Linked DNA regions of Arabidopsis thaliana. The protein of the gene in region 2 purifies or fractionates together with the protein of the main gene of each other region. This does not show direct contact. Each region holds a gene or a part of one and is shown on either strand. Other genes may lie near its edges. The genes, in order: CHR42, SHH1, NRPD1A and NRPD2A.

Evidence for each region.
Region 1: the proteins of SHH1 (region 2) and CHR42 purify together in Arabidopsis thaliana (affinity purification with mass spectrometry, with the first as the bait; one study listed by BioGRID). This does not show direct contact.
Region 3: the proteins of SHH1 (region 2) and NRPD1A purify together in Arabidopsis thaliana (affinity purification with mass spectrometry; 2 studies listed by BioGRID, with this or other methods). This does not show direct contact.
Region 4: the proteins of SHH1 (region 2) and NRPD2A purify together in Arabidopsis thaliana (affinity purification with mass spectrometry, with the first as the bait; one study listed by BioGRID). This does not show direct contact.

The regions. Positions count from the first base shown.
Region 1 is NC_003076.8:6,898,264-6,906,135, forward strand, and holds CHR42 (chromatin remodeling 42), read right to left. Parts: upstream 5,980-7,872; 5' UTR 5,830-5,979; intron 5,057-5,829; 5' UTR 5,004-5,056; coding exon 4,955-5,003; intron 4,766-4,954; coding exon 4,533-4,765; intron 4,442-4,532; coding exon 3,008-4,441; intron 2,911-3,007; coding exon 2,773-2,910; intron 2,684-2,772; coding exon 752-2,683; 3' UTR 527-751; downstream 1-526. Other genes in the region: MGD2 (monogalactosyldiacylglycerol synthase 2), read left to right, coding at 58-318; AT5G20430 (Mob1/phocein family protein), read left to right, coding at 6,442-6,455, 6,574-6,692, 6,780-6,943, 7,057-7,128. UniProt on the Arabidopsis thaliana protein: Probable chromatin remodeling factor.
Region 2 is NC_003070.9:5,236,447-5,240,243, reverse strand, and holds SHH1 (SAWADEE HOMEODOMAIN protein), read right to left. Parts: upstream 2,201-3,797; 5' UTR 2,149-2,200; coding exon 2,095-2,148; intron 2,016-2,094; coding exon 1,930-2,015; intron 1,771-1,929; coding exon 1,725-1,770; intron 1,636-1,724; coding exon 1,467-1,635; intron 1,390-1,466; coding exon 1,329-1,389; intron 1,063-1,328; coding exon 1,011-1,062; coding exon of another isoform or gene 987-1,010; intron 950-986; coding exon 806-949; intron 714-805; coding exon 531-713; downstream 1-530. Other genes in the region: ABCG35 (pleiotropic drug resistance 7), read left to right, coding at 3,671-3,797. UniProt on the Arabidopsis thaliana protein: Involved in RNA-directed DNA methylation (RdDM). Required for the silencing of some endogenous RdDM targets and accumulation of 24-nt siRNAs, but not for the production of Pol V-dependent transcripts.
Region 3 is NC_003070.9:23,359,457-23,364,178, forward strand, and holds the start of NRPD1A (nuclear RNA polymerase D1A), read right to left. Parts: upstream 3,032-4,722; 5' UTR 2,981-3,031; exon of another isoform or gene 2,848-2,980; intron 2,737-2,847; 5' UTR 2,692-2,736; intron 1,684-2,691; 5' UTR 1,671-1,683; coding exon 1,587-1,670; intron 1,504-1,586; coding exon 1,383-1,503; intron 1,286-1,382; coding exon 1,164-1,285; intron 1,084-1,163; coding exon 1,045-1,083; intron 958-1,044; coding exon 739-957; intron 663-738; coding exon 510-662; intron 422-509; coding exon 326-421; intron 276-325; exon of another isoform or gene 246-275; coding exon 1-245. UniProt on the Arabidopsis thaliana protein: DNA-dependent RNA polymerase catalyzes the transcription of DNA into RNA using the four ribonucleoside triphosphates as substrates. Largest and catalytic component of RNA polymerase IV which mediates 24-nt short-interfering RNAs (siRNA) accumulation.
Region 4 is NC_003074.8:8,568,180-8,575,861, forward strand, and holds the start of NRPD2A (nuclear RNA polymerase D2A), read right to left. Parts: upstream 6,031-7,682; 5' UTR 5,833-6,030; intron 5,671-5,832; 5' UTR 5,641-5,670; coding exon 5,224-5,640; intron 4,504-5,223; coding exon 4,276-4,503; intron 3,825-4,275; coding exon 2,944-3,824; intron 2,565-2,943; coding exon 2,273-2,564; intron 2,142-2,272; coding exon 1,248-2,141; intron 1,151-1,247; coding exon 846-1,150; intron 294-845; coding exon 1-293. Other genes in the region: AAE16 (AMP-dependent synthetase and ligase family protein), read left to right, coding at 7,089-7,241, 7,554-7,682. UniProt on the Arabidopsis thaliana protein: DNA-dependent RNA polymerase catalyzes the transcription of DNA into RNA using the four ribonucleoside triphosphates as substrates.

The DNA.
Region 1 (7,872 bases), on a different chromosome or scaffold from region 2:
TGCTCATATATATATATATGTATAATTCTCATATCAATTACACTTGAAACCAAACAGGAGAAAGGGAATGTGCCGTATGTAGTGGAGAATGGTGCAGGAGTATTCACAAGAAGTCCCAAAGAGACAGCTAGAATCGTTGGGGAATGGTTTAGCACAAAGACAGATGAGTTGGAACAAACTTCAGACAATGCACGTAAACTAGCTCAGCCTGAGGCAGTCTTCGACATTGTCAAAGACATTGATGAGCTCTCAGAGCAACGAGGTCCTCTTGCTAGCGTCTCTTACAATCTTACCTCTTCTTTTGCCAGTTTAGTTTGATGTCCCATGTTTATATTAACATGTCTCCCTTAGTAGTTCTTTTGTCTGTTATTTTTTCCTTTCCTTATATTCCCTAATTTGTTTATTGATTGAAGTTGTATGTATTATTTTTAAGCAAAAGGTTCATGATGTCTTTGCATTATTGTTAGCCATTAACAATATCAACAAGAGATTCTTGTTCATATAGAATCACATTACTATTAATTTTGTCGATATATTTCACATTATTAGAGACGGACTTACACATTATTAGTATATGATACATTTTCTTCTTATTAGTATATGATACATATTCACATTATTAGTATATGACACATGAGTTCCAGAGACTTAGGATCTTCCAAGCCATGGCTAAAACAGAGAACTAACCTTTTTGTTTCTGTTTGCGGAAAATTCCAGGCTCTCATTATTCTTTATGTATACAAACCTTCATTTACCCTGTTGAAGCCTTCTCATTCTTCATGATCATATGGAAAGATTTAACTTTATCTTCTCCAACGATCTCTCTAAGAATATCATCTTCAATCTTCTCAGCTTGCCACAGAGATGGATCCGCAACAAACTCCTCACTGAATATCATACACGAGACCCACTCTTTCCATGTTGTCCTCCTGTACTTGTCTTCCTCTAATGTTCCTCTGGACAAGAGCTGATAAACGTAAACAACTTTCTGCTGTCCCGGTCTGAATGCACGAGCTATAGCTTGCTTTGTCTTAGAAGGGTTCCATTCTGAGTCGAGCATGATGACCCGTGAAGCAGCGGTCAGACTAATCCCTTCTGCGCAAGCTGTGATCGAGGCCAGGAGGACTCGGGATGGGTTTCCAGGTTCTTCGAATTTGTCTATCACTCGACCTCTTTCAAACAGCTCAAGATCACCGGTTAAGGTCAAGATCTCTCTGCCTCTTTGCCACCTGAAAATGTTCTCAAACAGTTCGGTAAACATACGGATTGGCGCAATGTTGTGGCAAAAGATCAAGATCTTCTCCCTCTTGACCACTCGGAAAATAAGGTTTAACACAAACATGACTTTAGATCCTTTCTTTGCGTCGTGCTTGAGTTTTCCGATCTCGGAAAGTTCTTGCGGGTTGAAGAATTTTGTGCAACAGTTTGAGCTTGTGACCAACCACGGATGTATAGCTGCTAATGTTATCTGAAGCTCGACCTCAAGTGGATACCCAAAGTACGTCTTTATTACATCCTGAAGTTTCGTGAGTATCTTATGCTGTATATCCGTCGAGTTCATCACTAATGTATAGATCTGTAGACCTGGAAGAGCATCACCACTTCCACTTCCACTCCCTTCATAGTTATCAATGAAACCATTAGTCATATTCTTCAACATATTGAGACCTTGAAGGCGTTCATCTCCCACGCTTGCATCAATCTTCTTGGCAATTATATCGAGGAATAATTTACGAGCTCTATTCTCGAGCAAGTGAGGCGCCTTATTCACACCGTGATTGGTCTTGAATTTCTGATCTAACTCCATTAGAACCTCATGAATAAACTTTGGTCTAGCCAAACATAGCGTGTTGAAGTACTCGCAAAAGTTGTTCTGAAACAAAGTACCCGAAAGAAGTATTCTTAAGTCAGTACCAACTTTCATCAAGGCCTTACGTAGTCTTGACTTGGTACTCCTCGGGTTATGCCCTTCATCAAGAACAAGAAGCCCGGGACTCTCTCTTAGCACTTTAGCCATGTATTTCCGGTGAGCAAACTTCGAGTCTTCCCTCATCAAAGTCGTAAACGAGGTGTAACCCATTACAAGAACACTCGGATGAGCATGCCATTTCTGTATTTTTTCTAGGCAATCAAGAACATGCATAACATCTCGGCTCGGTTTAGGAACTCCATTGAACTGAACCGTTTTGTTCTGTTTGAAGGTACAATAGGTTCTTCGACCGTGGATCAAATGAACCGGAACTGGGATCTCCCATTTGATGAACTCCTTGTACCATGTGTACAAAGTTGTTTTAGGAGCAAGAACCAAAGGTCTTTTCCCGGGAAATAGCTTCAAGTAGCTAGTGAGGAAAGCAATGATTAGGAATGTTTTACCAGCTCCAGGTGAATGAGAGATCACACAACCACCTATGTTACCTGAAGTGGGATCCATAAGCGAGGGTTCCACAGATCCTGCTACATTTCTCCAGAGAAACTCGAAAGCTCTTCGTTGATGCACATGTAGTTTTCTCTTAAGCTTAGGTATTAATGCCCAAACGTTGTCACTTTCTTCAGCCGCAAGCATTTCTGAAGAATCACTTATCATAGAGAAATCTTTAGTCTGGGCTTCTTTGTGGCTCAACTTAGTCTTTATGTCATCTTCTTCGATATGCTTAGTCTCTATGGTCCATTTCTTATGTTCTGCCTATTCAAACCAAACCATGAAATATAATCATTTATTACAAGCCCAGTAACATTAACATTATGCATTTGTAAGTTGTGAGTTTCACTTACAAATGGTGCAGATACATCTTTTATCTCACTTCCTACATGACCACATAACCTGCAACACATCCCGATTTCTTCCTCCAGCCTATAATCGTGCTCACAACCACTTCTCGCCTTTTCGAAAGCCTCGTTATCCACTCTTACCTAGAGATTTTGATACACCACAACAATGGAATTAGCAGGCAAATGCTTGTATATAGTTTTAGTTTTAGTATATGCGATATCTCAAAGAGAATTGTACCTCGTTGTCATCGAGAATGTAAGAAGAAGCCAAGCATAGTTCCATTTCTCTCCATAACATTTCGTTCTCTGAAGTCTCTCCCTCACCATCCTCACTCAAGTTCTTTTCCATATCCCCATGCAGTTTAAATGCGAAATTCGTCTTCTTTAACTCCTCCCACTGGTCAACAACACTGGTAGGCTCGTCCTTGGCTGCAATTGTGGACTCAATGTTGTTCATGTATGTATCTATCAGCTTGTTATATGCACCTGCACTCAATGTTACTTTCTTATAGACCCGTGGTTCATCAGAATCCTCTGTTTTTGGAGCAACTGACCGCGAAGATCGGGATGTTCGTTTTTGAAACGACTTCACCTGGTTAGGACCTTTCCAACATAGATCAGCTTCCATCATCTCTTCCATTTCCGTCATTTTCTTCCCGTATTTCATGCCTTTACTTCGATACTTTTCAGTCTCATCAAAGTACTGGCTTCTTGAGAAACTACCACCCCCACCAAAACTGTTAGCATTAAGACCAAACTGTTCCAACGGTATAGGCTCAAACACCGGAGTGAAAGGAATAACCGAAAGCTCGGATTTCCTCTCTTTTCTACCAAATCCATGTACTCTCCTCTTGTCTATCACAACGATCTCGCCTTTTCGACTTTTCGGTTTCGCTTCTCGAGAATTAGTTTTCTTTTTCTTGATGAATAAACGCGATAATGGTATATACAAATCATCATTAGTATCACCATCCTCATTGTTATCGTCCTCGTCTTCATCACTCTCAACATTAACAGCACATTTTCCAAACTGGTACGGCATCATCCGCACCCAACCGTCAATTGTATCTGGCTCATAATCACATCCGGTGTAGATATCCGGTCTCACGTTTCTTCTTTTGGACCTACGTAGTTCCACTACCTCATCTTCTTCTTGATAATAATCGGTTTCTTGCTTTATTTCAAGATCTTGAGAATCATCCAATATATCTGCCGGATTAAACTTAACCACTTTTGATAACGAAACACCGTCTTCCAAAGTAATATTCATCGAACTCAACGTACTGCTAGAGCCTTCTTCATCTGTTACAATCTGATAAACCATCTTGGTTTGCACTGTTCTTATTTGAAACACAATGCTTTTCAAAGTTGAGGTAACAGTCAACCACGAAAGATCCGGCAAGAACTTTCCCAAAGACAGTCTTGTTTTCATCAAGGAAGTGCAGTCCTCAGAGAATCTCCATCTGTAGAACTGATCAGTACTTTGTTCCTTGTAAAACTTTTGGAGAATGGAGATTTGGTTTAGACCGATAACCACGGAATCTCTATTGATTCTCTGTTTCTCCGAGCCAATGCAGCCTTGGTCAATGTAAATTCTAACATTGATCTTGCAAGAGCATTCAGACTCATGAGGCTTCCTCTCTATAGAAACAATCCTCGCATCCACCCAAACCTATGCAAGAAACAGATACAGAGTATTTTGATGAGTTTGAAGATGCAGAGTATTTGAAGAATCAAATTCACGCGATTTCAGCTACATGTACCGGTTCCAAGTCATCCTCGTGGATACGATAGAGAACACAAACATCGATATCAGGCCGAAGGAAACAGATACAGTCGCTCAAAGCCGCTTTTCTTGATCTGAGACGAAGCCTTTGGAAAGGACGGATATCTTCCAACACATAACCATTCTCTAACAGACGTATTGTCATCATTCCATCTTCGATCCTCATGTATTCCACAGGCTTCCATGTACCCGAGCAGAAGAACTCGAAAGCTAAAGAGTAAGAACCGGAACATTGTTATCCATTAGTCAAAGTAATCCAGTCTGTACTTTGGCATTTCAATCCAACAATTTCCAACTTCTCAAAGTACTGAATGGTTTATAACTTTAAGTTCAGCTCTGTGGCTAACTTGCACTTAAATGAGAACAGAAGAAAATTGATATAAAGGGAAATGCACTTACGACATGGATCAAATGGATGCTTCAAATTGTAGAAACCTCTTTTCTTCATATTTTTTTATAACTTTTGGGCCAATCAACCAACAACATTGTTATGCGAAGATCCTACAACGGCAACATAAGTATAACAAACCCCAAAAGTCAGATGCCTATTTTTATAGCAATAACTCAAAGATCAGCAGAAAAGGACAGAACAGTGTGCTCTGCTCTGCTATTATGAGGTAACTTAGTTTTCAGTCTTATGCTTTTTTGATTGAGGGAAATGCTAAGTGCATATGTGCATGTAATCAAAATTTGGTTAAGAGTTATAATTGATGCTATATCTTTCCAAATCGCTTCACATTTCGAAGTCTAATCTTACATACAAAACAAGGAACAGAGAACTCTGCATATATGAAAACTTGATCATACACAACCAAACCCACATCGGATACACGAAAAGACTCAAATCTTACGTTAAGAATCGAAAAAGTTCACAAATTGTTAACATTTGTGTTTTTAGGTAAAAAACAAAACCCATATATTTTCCTGGAACAGAGAGTCCAGAAGAGGCAAAAAAATATATATTAAATCGGTCATCACTAAAGGCTAAAAGCATCGTTATCAACAAAACCCATATATCTAAAGAACACAAAAATAAAATAAAAATAAAGAGTATTTGATGAATAGGGTCTGATTCAAAAGCAAACGATCATGATCTAGAAAGCAGAATCTTGAATCCCAAGACAACAACAAGACTCAGATTGAACTGAAGAAAAGATGATCGGACCTTGGAAACAAAACCAGATTGTGCAGTGAAATTGAATACCAAGAGCTATATAATCTACTATTCCATGATTCAAGAAATATGTAGAGAAAAAGGACGGAGAGTTCAATACCTCCTCAGTAGTTATTTCAGAATCTTGTTGGCCACTGTGAATATAAATTACTTAATAAAGATTTGCATGAATTTTGTTGTATACAACAAACAAAAAAGAGTGAGTGAGTGAGAAAGGGAGTGTTGGCAAACGAACCGGACAAGAGGAAAAGGTTCAAGGAGAAAAGGTAATTAGAAAAATAGACGGCTGCGATTTGCTATGTTTTATCTAGAGGATAAAAATAGACGGCTGTGATTTGTTACGTTTTATCTAAGAGAAAAATAGACGGCTGTGATTTGTACGTTTCATCTGGAAGAGAAAACTAGACGGCTGTGATTTGTTATATTTTATCTGTTTAGATAGATTTTCTGTCACAAGAAAAGTTATATGAAACTTTTGTGGGGTCCACGGTGGAGATATGGCGGTAACTCTTTGACAGCGAGTGTTGTAGGGAGCCTAAGTAGGTTATGATGACCTATAACTTAGGTAGTAGTTGTACAACGTAAAAAAAATTGAAGGCTGGAAGGTAGCTTTCTCATTCTTGATATTCTTTTAGCTGTAGATTTCTACAACCAAATAAGCCTTTTGTATGCTACTCTTAAAGAGTTCTGCACACCCACCACTTGCCCAGTTATGAAGGCTGGAAGGTAGCTTTCTCATTCTTGATATTCTCATCCATCAATTCAAATCCAAAGCTTCTTGATCGTAAAACAATATATAGTTGTATAGCACAGTATCGATCTTTCTCGGTCTTATTGTTTGCAGATATGAGTATCGATGGGCAGATGGAACTACTATGGTTTCAGCCCCTGAATATGTTGAGCTTCTCATGAATTGGATTGAAACTCAGATAGATAACGAACACATCTTTCCGAAAAAGACTGGTATTTGTGAAGATAATTCATAGTTTTAAACATGATCATGAAGTTGGTTTTTAGTTTGTAACACTTGTTTCTTTCTTTCCCATTCAGGAGAACCATTCCCTCCAAACTTTGAGGATTTCGTGAAGCGGATTTTGAGAAAGTTGTTTCGTGTCTATGCACACATCTATCATTCTCACTTTCCTAAGATTGTCACTCTCAATGAACAAGCTCATCTCAACACTTGCTTCCACCGTTACCTTCTCTTCGTATCTGTGAGTTGATTAATCTTTCTCTAAATCATGATGAGTACTTAGGACTGTTCTCATATAGCGGATGGTAAAAGTTTGTATATTTAACGATGATGCACGATTTTGGCAACATGCAGGAGTTCCAGTTGGTTGATAAAGAAGAAATGGTTCCTATTCAAAAGCTCGTGGAAACTATTTTGAAACCATAGAAAACTCTTCGTGTTTTCAGGGGGAAAAGGGATTTTCATATATCCACTAATAACATCCTGATGAAGTTTATGATATATGTAATAATGACTTTGGCTTTTACAAAATGACTTTGGCTTCTATAATAGGTTGATCTTGTGAGGTTTCAATCAATAAACAAGATCAGCATCAAATACCAACAGAACCGCTCTTTAACTTCATTGTACAGAAACAACAGGCTATTTTTTTTCCCCTCTTCGTTGGCTAGTCATTGTTAATCACAAAACCAAGGGATGTCTTGGTGTTGTGTAGAAGTGGTTAAGTAAAAATGAGTATAGACTCAAATTCACTTCCAAAGCTCTAGGTGTTAGTTTTTTTGAGCATTAGATATCAATCAATTTAATCTCGGGTTATCTCCTATTAGCAAGCATGGATTCACTGTTAAGTTAGATGCGGATAAGCATGTCCTTAGCAAAAATGGGACAACAACAGAGTGCTCTGCTCTTATGCTTTTTTATTATCATTGAGGAAAATGCTAATTACATCTGTGCATGTAATCAAAATTTGATTAAAGAGTGATAATGATGTTGCTCTACCTTTCCAAATCACTTCACATTCGTTGATGAAAAAACACTAAAAACAAAGTCTAATCTCAAATGCACACACAAGGAACAGAGAACTCTGTAAATATGACTATTTGATCATACACTACCAAACCCACATCGGATGCACAAAAAGACTCAAATTTTACATTAAGAATCGAAAAA
Region 2 (3,797 bases):
GATTGAATACAGAGAGCGGGTCGATAGTTATATTACTTTCGGCACAAAGATTTATTTCTTTCCAAATAGTTTTTGTGCTAAATGAGCTTTTTTCCACATCTTTATCTTAATAAGCCGAAGCTCACAAAATGTATTGACCTGCGTATTGTATATACAAGAAGCAATGAGTAAACAGAAAGAAATAGTCTTGCTCACAAGAATGAGACTGTATGTTGAACATTACATAGGGTGTTAACTGGTTAAGCATTTGGGTATTATTACATTGTACCATCACCATTCCCTTTACAATTCTAAGCTTTTGCACTTTATTCCACATAGTTGACAGAAAAAAACTAACATAGAATCCTAGGGCCGGTAGGTACTTAGTAGTGGAAGTCTATACATGAGCATGTTATTCCATTTTTGGGTCAGTCATATACTATATAGTCATAGTTTACTGCATCTTCCAAATATGACTTCAAAACCAAAAAAAATTACTCTTCAGGGCGGCGGCAAATTCTTTCTAGTCCCAGCGATTCCTGAACATACACTTAACACAAAACTTCGTCAATAGTTCCCACACCCAACAAAAAGGCTGAGATCAATCTTCTTACCTCTGTATTGTCAAGCTCGTAGCGAACAAGAAACACGCAGTTACATCTCGCGTGATCATGAATCCCTCTCTTGATATTCAAAACATGACCATCACAGTAGAGTGCTTGATCCTCTCTTTCCTGCTCATTAACCACCCCAACTTTCATTTTTAAGTTCAAATTTCTTTTGTTAAATGTTCCATCCTTCATAATTAGATCAAAGTCAGCCTTACTTGGAAACATAGAAGCAGGTCTCCAACGTTCACTCTCCCACACTCTGATGGTTCTACAGGAATAGACCGCTCACGCACTGATGTTTTGACGTTTACCCACTCATCGTGTCGGTTGTCGAACCCAGAAAACCGTACACGCACTTCCTGTTGCAGACACTCTTAGTTGCAAACAAATCATCCATTAAACAAAAGAGAAAAAGCTTACCAGTTCACCAGTGCGAAGAACTCTATAAGTAAGGAACGAAGACACGTCATACCTGAAAGACCAGAATTCCAGCAAATAAGCACAGATATAAAACACAAACGTATATTACAAGTCCAAAAATTAGGCTTTATATGAATAACGTTCTTTCTTAAGTTCACACTGAATAGGTAAGGGCATTCCTCGTTGAGTTAACAATCAACAGAGAGTTCACATTTCAGGTTCTTACTTAGGCCACTTAACAAAGTCATATGCTAGCAGTAGTCCAAGAGTTAAAGCAAAAATAGAAACATGATATTCAATGCAAGGAAACGTTCTTACCACGCGTAGTCCCGCGCTGATTTAGCCTCAAAAGCCAGATCAGCTAAATCAGAGGCCTTGCCTGTGTATGAAAATGTTCATAGGCGTTATAAGGCGTTAACTAAAAGAATCAAATATGGCACACAAGAAAAGGAAAACCTTTTCGTGTTTGAACAAAGGTAGAATTCCCAACAAAGGTAGCATTTGAGGCATTTGAAGCATAAGAACTGGGATTAGATAAGTCATGAATCTGCAAAGGGGGAGATGGCAAAGTTTTGGATTTTGGTTGGCTTTGATGCTTCAGCTTCTCCTGGAACCAAATCTGTACCTGAAAACATTTTGATTCAAAAAAAAAAGTTATTTCTACTCTATTTGCATTTTTTACCAGTTAGCTCTATGAAGAAAAAAGAGACGCACCTGTTTCCAGGTTATAGAGGATTTGCCATTCCGATTCACAGAACAACTATAAGAGAAAATGGAAGAAGACATAAAGATTTTTTAGATACTGTGCATGAAAATCAATAATCCTACTATTCCTATAAATCCACAAAATGCTTGTGTCTCGATTCTCTAACAAACACATTCACATGATCAAATTCTCGTAAAATTCAGAATAAAGTACCTAAAAGTAGAGGCAACAGTTTGACAGAAATCTTTGTGGAGAGATTGGTCACCGAGCTCCTTATACAGATTCTCCATGTCTACAATCTTCGAATAAGAAGAGCAATAAGATCACAAAGCATGAATCTCTAATCTAAGAAAACGAATGATAGAAAGCATAGATAACCTCAGACAAGGTAAACTCGGTGAAATAGTGAGAGGAATCATCGGAAGCAGCCATTATCGAGCGCACAAGGAAGAAGAAGAAGAAGTGAAAAGGATCTTGAGCTAATTTGCTACTACACTGATGCCTTCAGAGTTCAGTGAGCTTTAGTGGGTTAATGGGCCTAAAATGGATAATAATAATATAAATGGGCTTAAACTCACTAATTTATTACCCATATGCTTGTTTTTTGGACCGTCTATTATTTTATTTTAACCACACTCATATAACTGTACTATTATTTAATATTTATAAATGACTTTGAAACAATCGAGACAGGATGAGGGAACCCGTCCGCGGGGAATCTTCCAAGTCATATGAGCTGGTGGTGCGTGGTGGAGTGTTTATTAATATTCATGATTACTGACATTATTAATCAAATACTATCATAGCATGTATAAGTATATAATTTAATCACAGCTAATCCTCACTAAGGCTCTACCTTCTTTTGTTGGCGACAACCCAGGCCCTTATTTCTCCAATACAAGATTCGTTACTAAACATATCAAATATACATTATTGTAATTAGTTAGTTAATTACACGTGCTTTAAAGCATTTTAAACGCACAAATTTGAAAATGATGGCAAAGGCCCTGATTGATTTTGACCGAGACACAAACACGCAAACATAGAAAATTTAATCAGGGATTTGTACTCGGTTACATAGCTGTCATTCTGTGTTACGTATTAATTACGGTATTTAACTAATCACGCACGCAGTAGATATACTATAACTTTACTTGATTAACAAAGCTAATAGCATCCATAAATTGGGGTCAAGATGTTTGAACTCATAACGAGTTACTTTGACATTTGTAGATTGTGTGTAGTTGGTACGAGGTCTACTAGTAAGTCATAACCAAATATAACTAATCGTAGTAGACTAATTCAATTTCTTACATAAGTCCCAAATTTTCTATACCTGTTCTGCACTAATCACTCCTCTCATTCTTATCACCATTGGTCCATTGCCATCTCTTGAATCCGTCAATCTTTTATTAATTTAAAAAGGCCACCTGCTCTATTGTTGACAATAGAAGGTGAGGAAAAACAAAACCAATCAAGCCAAAAAAAGACAACCTGTCTACATCATTAAGCACCAACCTTATACAAACGTATAAATCGAATTTTTAACTCGTGTATGATTGACTAGGCATCCTTCATTTTCCACATGGGCCATCCTGTTAAAAGATGTTTCATTATTGCATGGATTACTATAATAATCACAAGAATTTAAAAGGCACAATCAAGTGGTGCTTTTCTTTATAGTTTTCATTGGAGATTGTGATAAAATAACAGAGAGCACCAGAGGGGGAGCTTGCACTCGTCATTGTCCCTTACTCTTTTCTCTCTCAATGCTGCAGAGGCACTGACAAACACACCATCTTTGCTTATCTCTTTCTCTGTTTTCTTCAACGAAATTTACATATCATCCGTTTCTTCTACTCACATATGGATCCTATCAGTCTAATAGTCTAAAAGAAAGAAGAAGAAGCACTTAACTTAATAGAAACAGGATCAAGATTCATAAGATCTAAAGATGGATTACGATCCAGCTCATGCTATGAGCAGAGGTGGGAGTATGCGGCAAACCATAAGTCGTAGTGTAAGCAAAGCAAGCAGAAACATGGAAGACATATTCAATACAAGCTCTAGACGAACCAAAT
Region 3 (4,722 bases), about 18 Mb from region 2:
CTTTCTTTATTGCACTGGTTGAGATGCTCTGATACTTGAAGCCTTTTTGCGATACTCTCGGGTATGCCAATCTCGTTGAGCTTCAAGGACGGATCACCAACAACTACTGTCCGGAATGTATGATCACTTCTTTTACCGAGCAGCACGTCTTTCATGAACCTTAGACCGCAAAGTTTTGGTGTATCAGACTTCTTCTGGTACGGATTTGCGGAATCTTTACTCGAAGACACAGTTTCCGAAAAGAGCTGTGCAAAAAACAAGAAATACTACTAACCTTCACAGAACAGAAAGAAGAGTTTAAATCTATCAGGAACCACTAACTTACTCTGGAATATTGCATGCATTCCATCACACGAGAACTCAATTCAAGTGTGTTTCCCTCAAAGCCGACTAGTTTCTTGTAGATCCGAGTCCGTTCATCCTTCAAAAATGTGACAGAAACTCGAAAAGATAAGAGAAATACCATAGTATATGATAACAAATTATATAAACAAGCGTTTTTAGCTTACAAATATTAGCCGAGCTCCGTTGAACTGATGAACTATTTCGGTTACACGGTAACCATTTGGTGTAACAGGAAAAGATGTCAGACCAAGAGAGTTGAACATAGGGATATCCTTCTTGATGAGCCTCTGATCAATCCCTAATAACAGAGCATAAACCTGCAAAAAGGTGAAATTTTCAGAAAACTATATATAGTAAGAAGTCATGGAGATGGTACATTTCACTCTTCTATACCTGTGCATGCGTTATTATTCGCCTTGTTGGTTTCAAACAGCTCTCGTCGATATTAGAGTCTTGCGGCAAAAAACTCCAATAGTCAGGAGGCAATGTTAACACTCCCCGTTTCTTGAGTTTCATCAGACTCTCTTCGTTTACTTCAACAACGATTCCGGATCGCCTGAAGACTTCTTTAGTAGTTACCCTAAACTTCATTAGAGGATAACCGGTATTCAACTGATATATAACAACAACAAAAACCGAAAATTAGTGTTGGAACAAAGTTTTAAACTGAGAAAATTAGTTGCAATCATATATTCTTACAGTGCAGTATCTACATCTCTCAGGCTGGTCTTCGGTAATCTATATCAAGCAAAAATGACATTAGTATATGTAGTTCCAAAACACACAAACCAACAAAGGATTTGGAAAGACTAGTGAACCTGAAACTGCTTTTTTCGAATGTATTTACACCCCGGACAGATTTTGTTTAACAACGCAGCTACCTCCTTGAGGAAATACGGGTTTATTATCGAGTACGCGAAGTTTATAACCCCGAAATGCCCTAAAACAGAGAGAAAAGTAGCAAACTCAGGGAACTAATCATAAAATGAGCTAAAAGATTGGAACAATATTTGCCAAAACCAGATTCTTTATGATACCTTCGCAAACTTTTCGATCTTTGCTGCCACAGGTTCTGCAGACAGAATCCGGATTCGGTAATCCTAGCCGAGAATCAGTCACCTGATTCGGTGCTTCAACCTCTAGCACAGACATTTTATCCTATAATAAAGTACCATTACATTAAATATTTGCTCCATCTACTCATAAACAAATCAAGAAGAATAAATAAGGACAACACTTACTCGATCATTGTTGTTTGAAATGCTAAAACCTATCGAGGTTAGAGTTCCCACGGGAACCTGAAGCTCCTCACAATCGTCTTCCATGTTGAAGAGTTTCCTACAAGAAAAAAAACCATCAGTAAGGAAAATTTAGATACGTAAGTAAAAACATCAGTTTTTATAAGCAAGTTTTAGTGACCAATTCCAATGTGCAGAATATGAAACAAAACCAATATTTAGCATTTAGACAGACAAAACCAAAAAACTCGCTCTGACCAATACTAACCACTGAGAAACAGACAACTTCACAAACTATCTCTGTGAGTGGCCACTTAGAATCTAGCATATATCCAAAGAAAAGAGAGAACATGTTCAGGGAAGAAGATTCTAGCTCAAAAATATTTGACGAACACACAAAATAGTTCAAACTTTGAACACACATTATTGAAAATTAACACTTACTTCTGTAACATAAAACAGAGCTAAAACTCACGGATAAATCGTCGAAAAGATCAGTTTCTATCTGTACCCTCTATCATCAAATCTAATGTGCAGCAGAATATGAAACAAAAACCAATCTTTAGCATTTCATTGACCAGAACACAAAAACCAAAGCAAACTCTCTCTGATCAAAAAATTGACCAAAGAGAAACAGACACTTTTGTTAAGGGACAAAAGTGTTACCACAATCTTCCTCTGTGACTGGCCTATCAAAAACAAGTTATAGATTCGAAATTGAATTTACTAATAGAATCTAGCATGAACCCAAAAAAATAAGAGAATACATGTTCAGAAAAAGAAGAAAGAAAAAAAACTGCAGAACATACACACAAAAAGGTTCAATCTTTGAACATACACTATTCATGGATTAAAAAAAAAAAAATTCACTGACCAAAAAAAAAAAAGGACAAATTTTCCAAATGTTCTTCTAAAGGACTCACACAAACCCTTAGTGCAAAAACATTCGCCGCCTTAAGATGATCTCTAAACGAAAGAAATCGATTTCTCATAAGAACATGCATAAACCAAAGTACTTAACTTTTCACAATCATCCAAAGTAAACAAAGTTCATAGAAACAAAATCGGAGTTCAAAGACAACGATCGATCAAATTTAAACAAAAGAACCGTGATAAGGAATCAGACACAGTGATCAATCAAAAAAAAAAAGAACTCAAATTGTTTCAAAGAGATAAAAAGAAAATTACCGAAAAAGGTTTTAAAAAAAAAAACGAAAGAAAAACCAGAAGAGAATTGAGGAAGAACAACAATGTAGTTACTTACTCGTTTCGTCGAACAGAGAATCCTCACTATGTAATGATCCAATTGAAACAGTGCACAGACAAAAACTTCTGATCCTTAGCTCCGACGGAAGATGCCGGAGAAGAAGTTGAAGAAGAGACTCTAAAGAAAGAACAAAAAAAAAGAGAGGAAAAAAAAATCGAAATCGGAGGCTTTTGAGAAGCCGCCGTTTGTATTCCCAAAGGAAACGGGAAAAAGTGAGAAAGCAGAGAAAACGAAAAAAAAACTCTTCTCTAAGTCCAATGGGGACTTTGGAATGTGAGACACCAAAAAAAAAAAAAAAAGAAGAAGAAAGAGTGTAAATACCGAAACTACCCCTTGACCTGTACCTCTATTTACCTACTTTACGAGTACACCTTTTACCTTTTGGAAATCTTTTTACTTCCTCGGTTGTATTATTTTAATTACTTTATGATTTTCTGTTTCTGCGAATTTTACCTTATTTGTATAAACTCTGAAACTGGGAAGAAAAGAAAAAGTTGAAATATCCTTCCTTAAGTATATTATATTAGCTGTATTAGTTTTTTACTTTTGGCCTAATTTTAAAACTGACAAAAAGTTATTAGAATAATTAATACTTTTTATTAGTTTAATGTAATATTTAAATAAATAAAAATAAGTGTATAACTAAATTTTCATCTTAGCAAAAAAAAAAAATCCTAGTGGTTTTTATTTCTAGCTTGATTTTTGGTTCATAACTATAATATGAATAGCGGGAAAAAAAAATATAATTTGAACCAAAAACAAATTCCATTTCTTTTCTTATATGATTTTGCGATTTTTCTAAATACTAGTTATAATCTCTAAATAATCTAAAATTACATAATTATACGAATTTATTTGTGAAGTTTGTGTTAGTATCAATCAAAGTATGATATGTAAAATAAAATTTTGTTTTACGTATAGTTGAGGCTATAAATTTGTTATCTTTGATTCGAAACATTTATATTTCGTTAAAATATATTTTTGTTCGATAAAAAAATTATGTGTAATTAAAATATATTTTTTGTTTGAAAAACAATTACAATTAGTTAGCTGCTTAGACAATTATCATATAATTTTATAAGAGGCGAAATGTGATAAATAACTAAATTAATTGAGACAAAAATAGATTAAAATTTATAAGATCTAGAATCTTATTTGAGAGTATGTGAATGTCCATTAATAAATCAAGATATATAAGTGAAATCAGTTTTTCTTGTCGGCGACGTGAAATTAGATTCTTGTTTACGTGAAGTTCACGCTTTCGTTTGTAAAACAGTTACATAGTTAGTTTAGTGGTTATTTATTAAAACAGTTTAACATATAATTATTACTAAAATATACTCCTTCTATTTAAAATTAGTTGTCGTTTAAGGTTTTTTGTCGGCGGCGTGAAATTGAATTTTTGTTTACGTGAAGTTCACGCTTTCGTTTGTAAAACAGTTATATAGTTAGTTTAGTGGTTAGTTATTAAAATAGTTTTGTTTAAAATTATTTGTCGTTTAAGATTTTTTGCAGTGAAAATAAAAAAAAACAATTAAATTTTCTACTTTACCCTTGTTCAATATAGTTTCTAAAAAAATTATTGGTCAAGACATTAATACTCACATTTTTATTAAACATTTGCATTAAAAAACTAAAAACGATAATTATTGTGAGATTAAATTTAAGTGCTAAAATGATAATTAAATTAAAACAAAATGAGTATTTGTTTTGAAAAACATGTAGTAGAATAAACTAGACTTAAAAATGTCCCAGTAAATTTTCTTATTAACCTTATAAACTGTAAACATTTGGGGTAGTCTAGTTAATAAAACTATTTATAATGCCAGAAATAAATAAATAAAATTGTGAGAAAAACTATTATTGAGTTTG
Region 4 (7,682 bases), on a different chromosome or scaffold from region 2:
GAGAAGAGTCACTTAGAGTGAAGAGACGCTCATGCAGATTAGCTGATGCACCGTGAGCTATTAGGCAGTCTCGCTCCATTTCTCCAAATTTTATCCCGCCAAATCTCTTCCTGTCTGCAACTGGCTGGCGTGTGAGCGGGTGGACTGGTCCAGTGTTCCTGAACTTGACTTTGTCCTCTGACATGTGGACAAGTCGCTGGTAGAAAGTTGGGCCCATGAATATCATAGAACGCATCATCTCACCTGATCTACCGTTGTAGACCCTTTCGTTTCCCCATCTTGAAAAGCCGGCCCTAATCACAAATATTTACCATTGGTAATGAATCAGGACTCAAGAATCAACAATAATCTAAGAAAGGTTAAATGAATTATACATAGATCACAAGGCTCACAGCATCAATCCTCTAACTAATTATATACTGGTACATGACTCTTGAGCCTATTTTTCTGTATTCTCTAGACGTTTTTCAGGCACAATACAAGAAATTAATCAACCATAGAACATTGAACTTCTTAGTTTTTTAGTCTTACAGAGACAGATAACTCATGCTCACTTCTAGTACTCCTAGAAAACAAAATAAAGATCCACTATGACATGTTTCAAGTAAGGTGCTCAAATCTAGCTTAGTGCCTTGTGCAGTATATTAGCTCAATCAACTTTTGGAAATTCTGTAGCCAAAGTCTCCAAGTTTAAACATCTTCAACGAGGAAATATTATCAATAATATGTTCCTGCCCTTAATGATATCATCTATTTGTATAGGAAGCAAATGTAAATCTGTTATAGCATATAATTTTATATTCTGTTTTACGAGCTAAAACCAAGAGACAATGTGAAGAATGTACCTGTGAAGCTGCTCGGTGATTTCAGTGACACCCGGAGTGGAGAAAGGAGTGGCATGACGTGTCAATTTGGTGTATGCAGCAGAGCTACCCTCCTTTTGTATAGGACAAGCGATTCCTTTGGAGAGAGCAGCCTCCAAGAGTTGACCTGGTGTTTGCCTAGAAGGGAAAGCGTGCGGGTTTATCACAATATCAGGAACTATGCCTTGGATCGTGAAAGGAAAATTCTGCTGTTCCTCTAGGTAGCCTAAAACACCCTTCTGGCCATGCATACTGGAAAACTTATCTCCAAGGCATGGAGAACGAACCTGTAAGATGTAAAAGCCAATCAATGGAACATTCGATTCATACATAGGAATGCATTCTCTGAAAAAACAGCTCGATTTAGTATGATCTGGAACTTACCTGTCTCAGAGAAACCGCAGCAAAATTCTTCCCTTCATCATTAGATGATAATACCACTTTTTGCACAATTCCTCTCTCAGTGTGCTTGAGCTTTATACTGTGATCAGCCCCAGACTCGGTGCATCTGCCAATGACAATATCGCCAGTACTCATGTTAGCACCAATGAAAGGAAACCCGTCATCTTCAAGGCTGTCTACTTTGCCGATTTTGCTGTGTGTCTTTCCAAACTGAACAAGCTCATCCATCTTCTTCCTCTTCTCTGAGTCTTTAGCATCAACCTCTGCTTTGTAGCTTCTAATCTGCTCTGAACGGAACATACCACGTTCCAATGAAGCCTTGTTCATCACAATGGAATCCTCTTGGTTGTACCCGAGATGAACATTCACAGCAACAATTGCGTTCTGGCCATTGAACAGCACTTCTTTTTTAAGACACTCCGACGCCAATGTCTTGAACAGTGGCTTCTGAGGATAGAACAGCTGCTGGGACAGCGTATCGCAGCGGATGTTAGGGTTCGTTGATGAGAATCCAATGGCTTGTTGGCAGTGCTTCTGGGACTGGTAGAGAACTCTTCTCCCATGGTCGTGATTTGCAAATGGGACAACTGCACAGCTCACACCCAACAAGAATGACAGGTCCAATTCGCAATGTGTGTATATCTTTGGTTCCTTCAGAAGCTGTTTGATTCCCCATGCTGTATTACAGTCTTCTTCTTCCTCAATCCCGATCAGCTCGAGAATCCCATGGTCAAGAAGATGGTCAAAAGGATACTGTGAAGGTTTTTCTTGCTTCAACTTTTGGAGATTTTCCACAACCAAGAGAGGTCGGAGTAGTCTACCAGCATCAGTGAAAATTCTTACCTCATTGTCATCTTTATCTCGCTTGATTTCCATCTGCAGAGAACGTTTCATATATATAAACAATATTCGACATAGACACATCTGAAGCAGAAAAATCCAAAGCAAATACCAAGTAACACAAGAATATCAAAATATAGCAAGAGATTTGCTGAAACAGAAGATACCTCACGAGGTAATTCACTTTGGCGCCGCCTGCTTTTTAACTCCGCGACAAAGGATTCAGAATCTGCACATAATCCAACCCAGTCTCCATTGAGAAGAACTTTATGTTTGCCAAACAATGGTGTGCATGTATCATCCATCAGCTCTTCCATTCCACAAGCGAAGAGCTTTTCCACCACAGACTCCAAACTTTGGGTGCTCACAAGTCCCAGAAGAGACATGTTCTTCACAAGACCACAATTTTCACCGTCTGGAGTTGACAAAAAGCATACTCTGCCCCAGTGAGAGGGGTGCCTGTGGCCAACATTACAAACAATGCAGCTATAGTTCAGTTTCCCAACACGATTTAATTGTCTAACCGCTCACATTGAAAAGGAACCAAAATGGATAATCTCAAGAGTTCAACAGATAGATTGACCAAGGGAGAAAGAAACAAGAAAGACAGTATCAGAGTTTTTTAATAGCAGTAACATCTATACAAAATAAGTATTATACACAGACAAGAGACTGCAGAAACAGTGATCGGCATCATATACTACATTGAATTAAAGTTATTACGAATATCTTTAAAACAGTCTGAAGACATGTAAAATGGAGTAAATGCAGACCAGACCAGTAAGTTAAAATACGTGAGATATATTTAAATATACCAGAGGAGGTGGAATTCACTTACGGATATCTAGCATCTCCAACCTTGCCGGTATATAAGACTTGCTGTCGCGTTCTCCTCAGATCAATCAGAGTCTGCAATGGATTTGCACGACCCAAATTAGCCACAACACCTGAAACCCTTTCCATCTTCCTGAAAGGATGAGACCATGCTCCAGTAGAGAAGGCTCTACTAAGCCCATTTGTGATAACAGAAGCATCCAAATAATGCTCAATAGGCTTCAAATCACCATCGCCTGAGAGGTGTTTCTGCATGGCCCTGGTCATCTTTCTTCTAGCATGTGCCAGATGCACCCTTATCTCCCTCTCCAATAGTTCTCCAGCGAGCTCAATTCGCTTATTCCGGAAACTGTCCCTGTTTTCGCATTTTCTTTTTCCCGCATACGAGTTCAGAAGGCACTTCACCATATAGCCCAGGAATCGAGCTTTCTTCTTCAAACTTTGGAGGCCTGGAAACAAATACAGATGGAGGCACTCATCCACACTTTCAGCAGGAGGGAATTTGGTGCTTTTGATCTGCTGTTCAACATATGTTAAAGCATTGTTCCCACAGCGAAAAGCTTCACAAACTGCATCAGCTACATGGATAGAAGCTATGAGACTGTTGGTAATGCTTGCATCATCACCATCAAAAGCAATTAGATCCATGGCTTCTTTGTCTGACGAAACACCTAGCGCAAAGAAGAGGAGCCAGACTGGAATCTCAGTCGACAAGAAGTACACTGTCAGTACTTTCTCCCTTCTCTTATAGTCTTCTGCTTTCTCATTCTCCGAGAGGCGCACAATGAATCTATTTCTTTTATTTTCGGACCTGAAGGAGACTGTCCATGGTGAATTAGAAATCCACAGTCTCTTTGTGCACATCTGTTCTTGAGCTATAAACACCTGCAAAACAATATAATAACGTTAGGGAGAAGTATAACAACTTGAAAATATTTTTTCCAGAATATATTAGAGTCAAATCATCTGTCCCAGAGCCTAAGATTGCAAAGAACGCTTCCTGTAAGATTTGAATACTCATGGCCTCATGGTCAAGCCAGAAAGGAAAGAAAAAGTTTATATCTTTGATGCTAACGAAGTATACAAAGTCATAAATAAGTTAAGTTTCTTAATTTCTTACTTCATCTCCATTAGGAAAATAAAATGAACCAAATAGGTTATTGTCTAATTTGTAACATCTTTTTGCTGATAAACACTATTATCTGATGATAGAAAATTGTAACTATAATCCGTTTTATGGATTGCTGACAAACAAAATCCGTTTTGGCATAGAAAATAAAGTTATTGTACGTATTGAATGGCAATATGCATATATGTATGTATTAGTTAAACTCACCTTCTCAGCCCCCTTTATCACGAAATATCCACCCTGATCAAAGGCACAATCCCCCTTTTTGCAGTTTTCTTTCCCTTTCTCGCTTGTTTTGCAAAGGATAGATTTCACCATGACAGGAATGCTACCAATTAGAATGTCCTGCTTTTTGACATCCAGTATCTTCTTCTCGACATAGTTGTCTTGTCCTGTCTTGAATTTGTCGCTTTTAACAACAGTATTCTTGAACACCTAGTCAATTTATAGAGTGAAGAAGCAGTTAGACAATAAACTACATTTATAAGAATAAGATACATGGACAGCAAAACAGAAACATCATCAAAAGTTTGACAGTACAAGAGTCATTGCACACAAGCATAAAACACTCAAACTAAAGCACAGTGAGGCAGTGGGGAAGAACTAAATAAAAAAAAAAGCTGAAGATGTTTTTCTTTTATTGCATCCAAACTTTAAAATGAAACAAACTAAAGCTTATTTCGTTTGAATACCCACCACTACAAGGAAAAGTAATCACAATTCAAATTTTAAACAAGAAACATCTAAAGATTGGGAGCAGACAAAATCATCAATCTTAAACACAACCAAGCTTGAAATACACCTCTACTTCACACGAACATGTAACTGTAATAAATCTCTTTTACTAGATATTTTGCTCAGGTAAGAAATCCAGCGAATGCAAATAAGGAACCAAATCCAATTACAGAAAACTTGTAAAGCCAAAAAGAGTGAAACCAGTTTCAGACAAATATGTTCCTTAACCCTTAGTAAATTATTTGATGGCAAGTTAAATTGAGAAATCTATGACAGGAACCTCAGTGTATGTCAACATCTTCATATATGTGTCAGAAAGAGTCTAGTAGAAACATCAAGAAATAAGCTTATACCATGTGTTCTTTATCATTCATCAAATCCAGACAAGGTTACTTAATTTCGACAAAGAATTTCTGTTACCTCAACTTGGACATTGACTTTGATCCTTGCAGAGTATGTCATGTTCTGAAGCCTAGCATGCCATGGGAGAAACTCAAGCTCCTTGTCATCCGAAAAGAAAGTAGGCTTCTCCACAGTGACTTCTCCGAACTTCACCGTTGCGTATCTCCAATCATTATCCTTCTTCTTTACAACATCAAAAGACGGTTCCACAAGCATCTCACCAAAGGATTGAAACACATTCTGAAGCCCGTGTTCAATGAAGTAGTTGTAGGAGTTGAGCTGATGACTTATAAGTCCATACTTATCAAAGAAAGAAGTTGCAGCTTTTTTGCAGAAACTCTGCAGAAAACCTTCTCCTAGCTCAGATAGATTGATCTCCCCAGTAGTAGCCTCGAACTCTTCAAGATCCTTCACATCAATGTCCATATCTGGCATACCTCAAAACACACTGTACGAACAAAAACCCTAAACAAAGACAGAGAAATTGATTAAAAAGCTGTGAAAATCATGAACCACGAAAATGCAATCATGCGAATACAAACACGAAATCAACAACTTTCCCTTAGAACCGAATCATTCTCCATAACATATTCTCCGATGCTTAAAAGCAGAATCAAAGCGTATTACCTAAAATAGGTACCTTGATTGCTTAAAGCTGGCACGATGGAGTAAAACGGCGGTGTCGGAGGAGTGCAGAGTAAACGTCGCCGGAAAATCGCTGAGAATGCGGAGAGATTCGACGTAGAAAACCCTTGGCACACTTTTTCAGTGGTTAAGCGAAGCAGTCAAAGAGAAGTGAAGAAATTGACGTCACTAGTACTAGTAGACAATATTATTAAATTTTGCTCTTTGGTATCTATATTTTTATGTTTAAGTTTTATTTTATTTTTATTTTAAAGTGAAAAGGAAATATATTTAGAAGTTCACATGACATAAAATTTGTAACATCTTTTTTTTTTTCCAAAATTTGTAACATCTACATTTTGGTTTTTACATCTAATTCGATTTGGTTGTTTGGTTTAATAAATTTCATATATAACTTAATTTTGACCAAAACACAAAGAAAAAAAACAACACATAATTCACTAAAAAAGCTCAGAGCAATCCCAATGGTTTAAAATCAATTAATTTTTAATTTTGGATCTTAAGCTTATTTTAAATTAAAATGTTGTTTTTACTAAGTTAAGAAAAGTTAGGAAGAAGTTTAACCAATTTCTACTTCAATGGTTAAGAACGATTAGAATTTTAAGAAACAACAAACTATTTCAACACAATGTCTACCCACTCAAAACACAACACATATGCTTTTCTTAGTTTTAAGAAAATATCTTAATAAAGATGTTTTTGTTTAACCAAAAAAAATAAAATAAAGATGTTTTTTTTTTTGGTGAGTGACGGAGAGGCTTAATAAAGATGTTTATCTTAGCTAAAGTTTATTGGTTTCATTAAATTTAATCACTTTTATACCTAAAAATTAGCTAAGATACAAAGTTGGGGTTGCTCCTACAGTTTAGAAATAATCATCAAATAGTTACCAAATTTGGGACATCATAATTATGGGTAGTTTGATTTATTAGGTTAAATCTGATCTAATTATAGAAATATAATATATAAGTAAATAAAAAGTTATTATATAAGTGTAAGTATTGAGCTCTGTTTTTTGTTTTATTATCTCTGAGAGTCTGAAGAAGCCATGCTTCTGTAGCGGTGCCAACCAACTTGGAACTGATCTTTCCTGTGAAAAATCGTAATCATGACATCGACCTACTTTCTCGTCTCTTTCTTTCTACCTTTCTTTGCTTCTTCATCTTTCTCTCTTTCTCCTCTCATATATTCTCTCTATGCAAGCAACTTCATCACGATAACCTCTTATCTCCTCAGCCATGGCTTCAACGTCTCTCGGAGCTTCGATTCTCGTTTCTCACTGCTCCTCAGCTCCTGAATTTCAAGTTTCTGGGATGAGATTGGTGTTTGGTTACAAGGCTTTTGGCTGCAGAACTTCACGCAGGGGATTTCGAGTTCGCTGCGAATCCAAGGCGAGTTCCTTTTTGGTTTGTGGACTTAAAAAATTGCTCCTTTCACTTTGATTTTTGAAGTAAGTAATCTAAAGAAATGAATTGACTTTGGGGAAGGTTCAAGTTTAGCTGTTGCACCAAAATAGACAACGAGTGGCTCTGACTTCTGAGTCTTATTAGTTTAGGATACTTGTCTTATGAAAGCTGAATTGCTTCTGATGACCAGGGTTTAAACAGCTTGATCCTGAAAGGCTTTTATAGGGTTCTTGTAAGTTTACCTTATGGTTCATTTCCTGAATTATATGTAACATCAATTGTGTACCGTTCTTATAGATTCAGGAGAAGGAGTTAAGGCGGTGTTCGCCATTCTTAGAACGCTTATCATTGCCAAGGGAGGCTGCTTTGAGCTCTAATGAATGGAAGTCTGTTCCTGATATTTGGAGATCATCTGTGGAGAAGTAC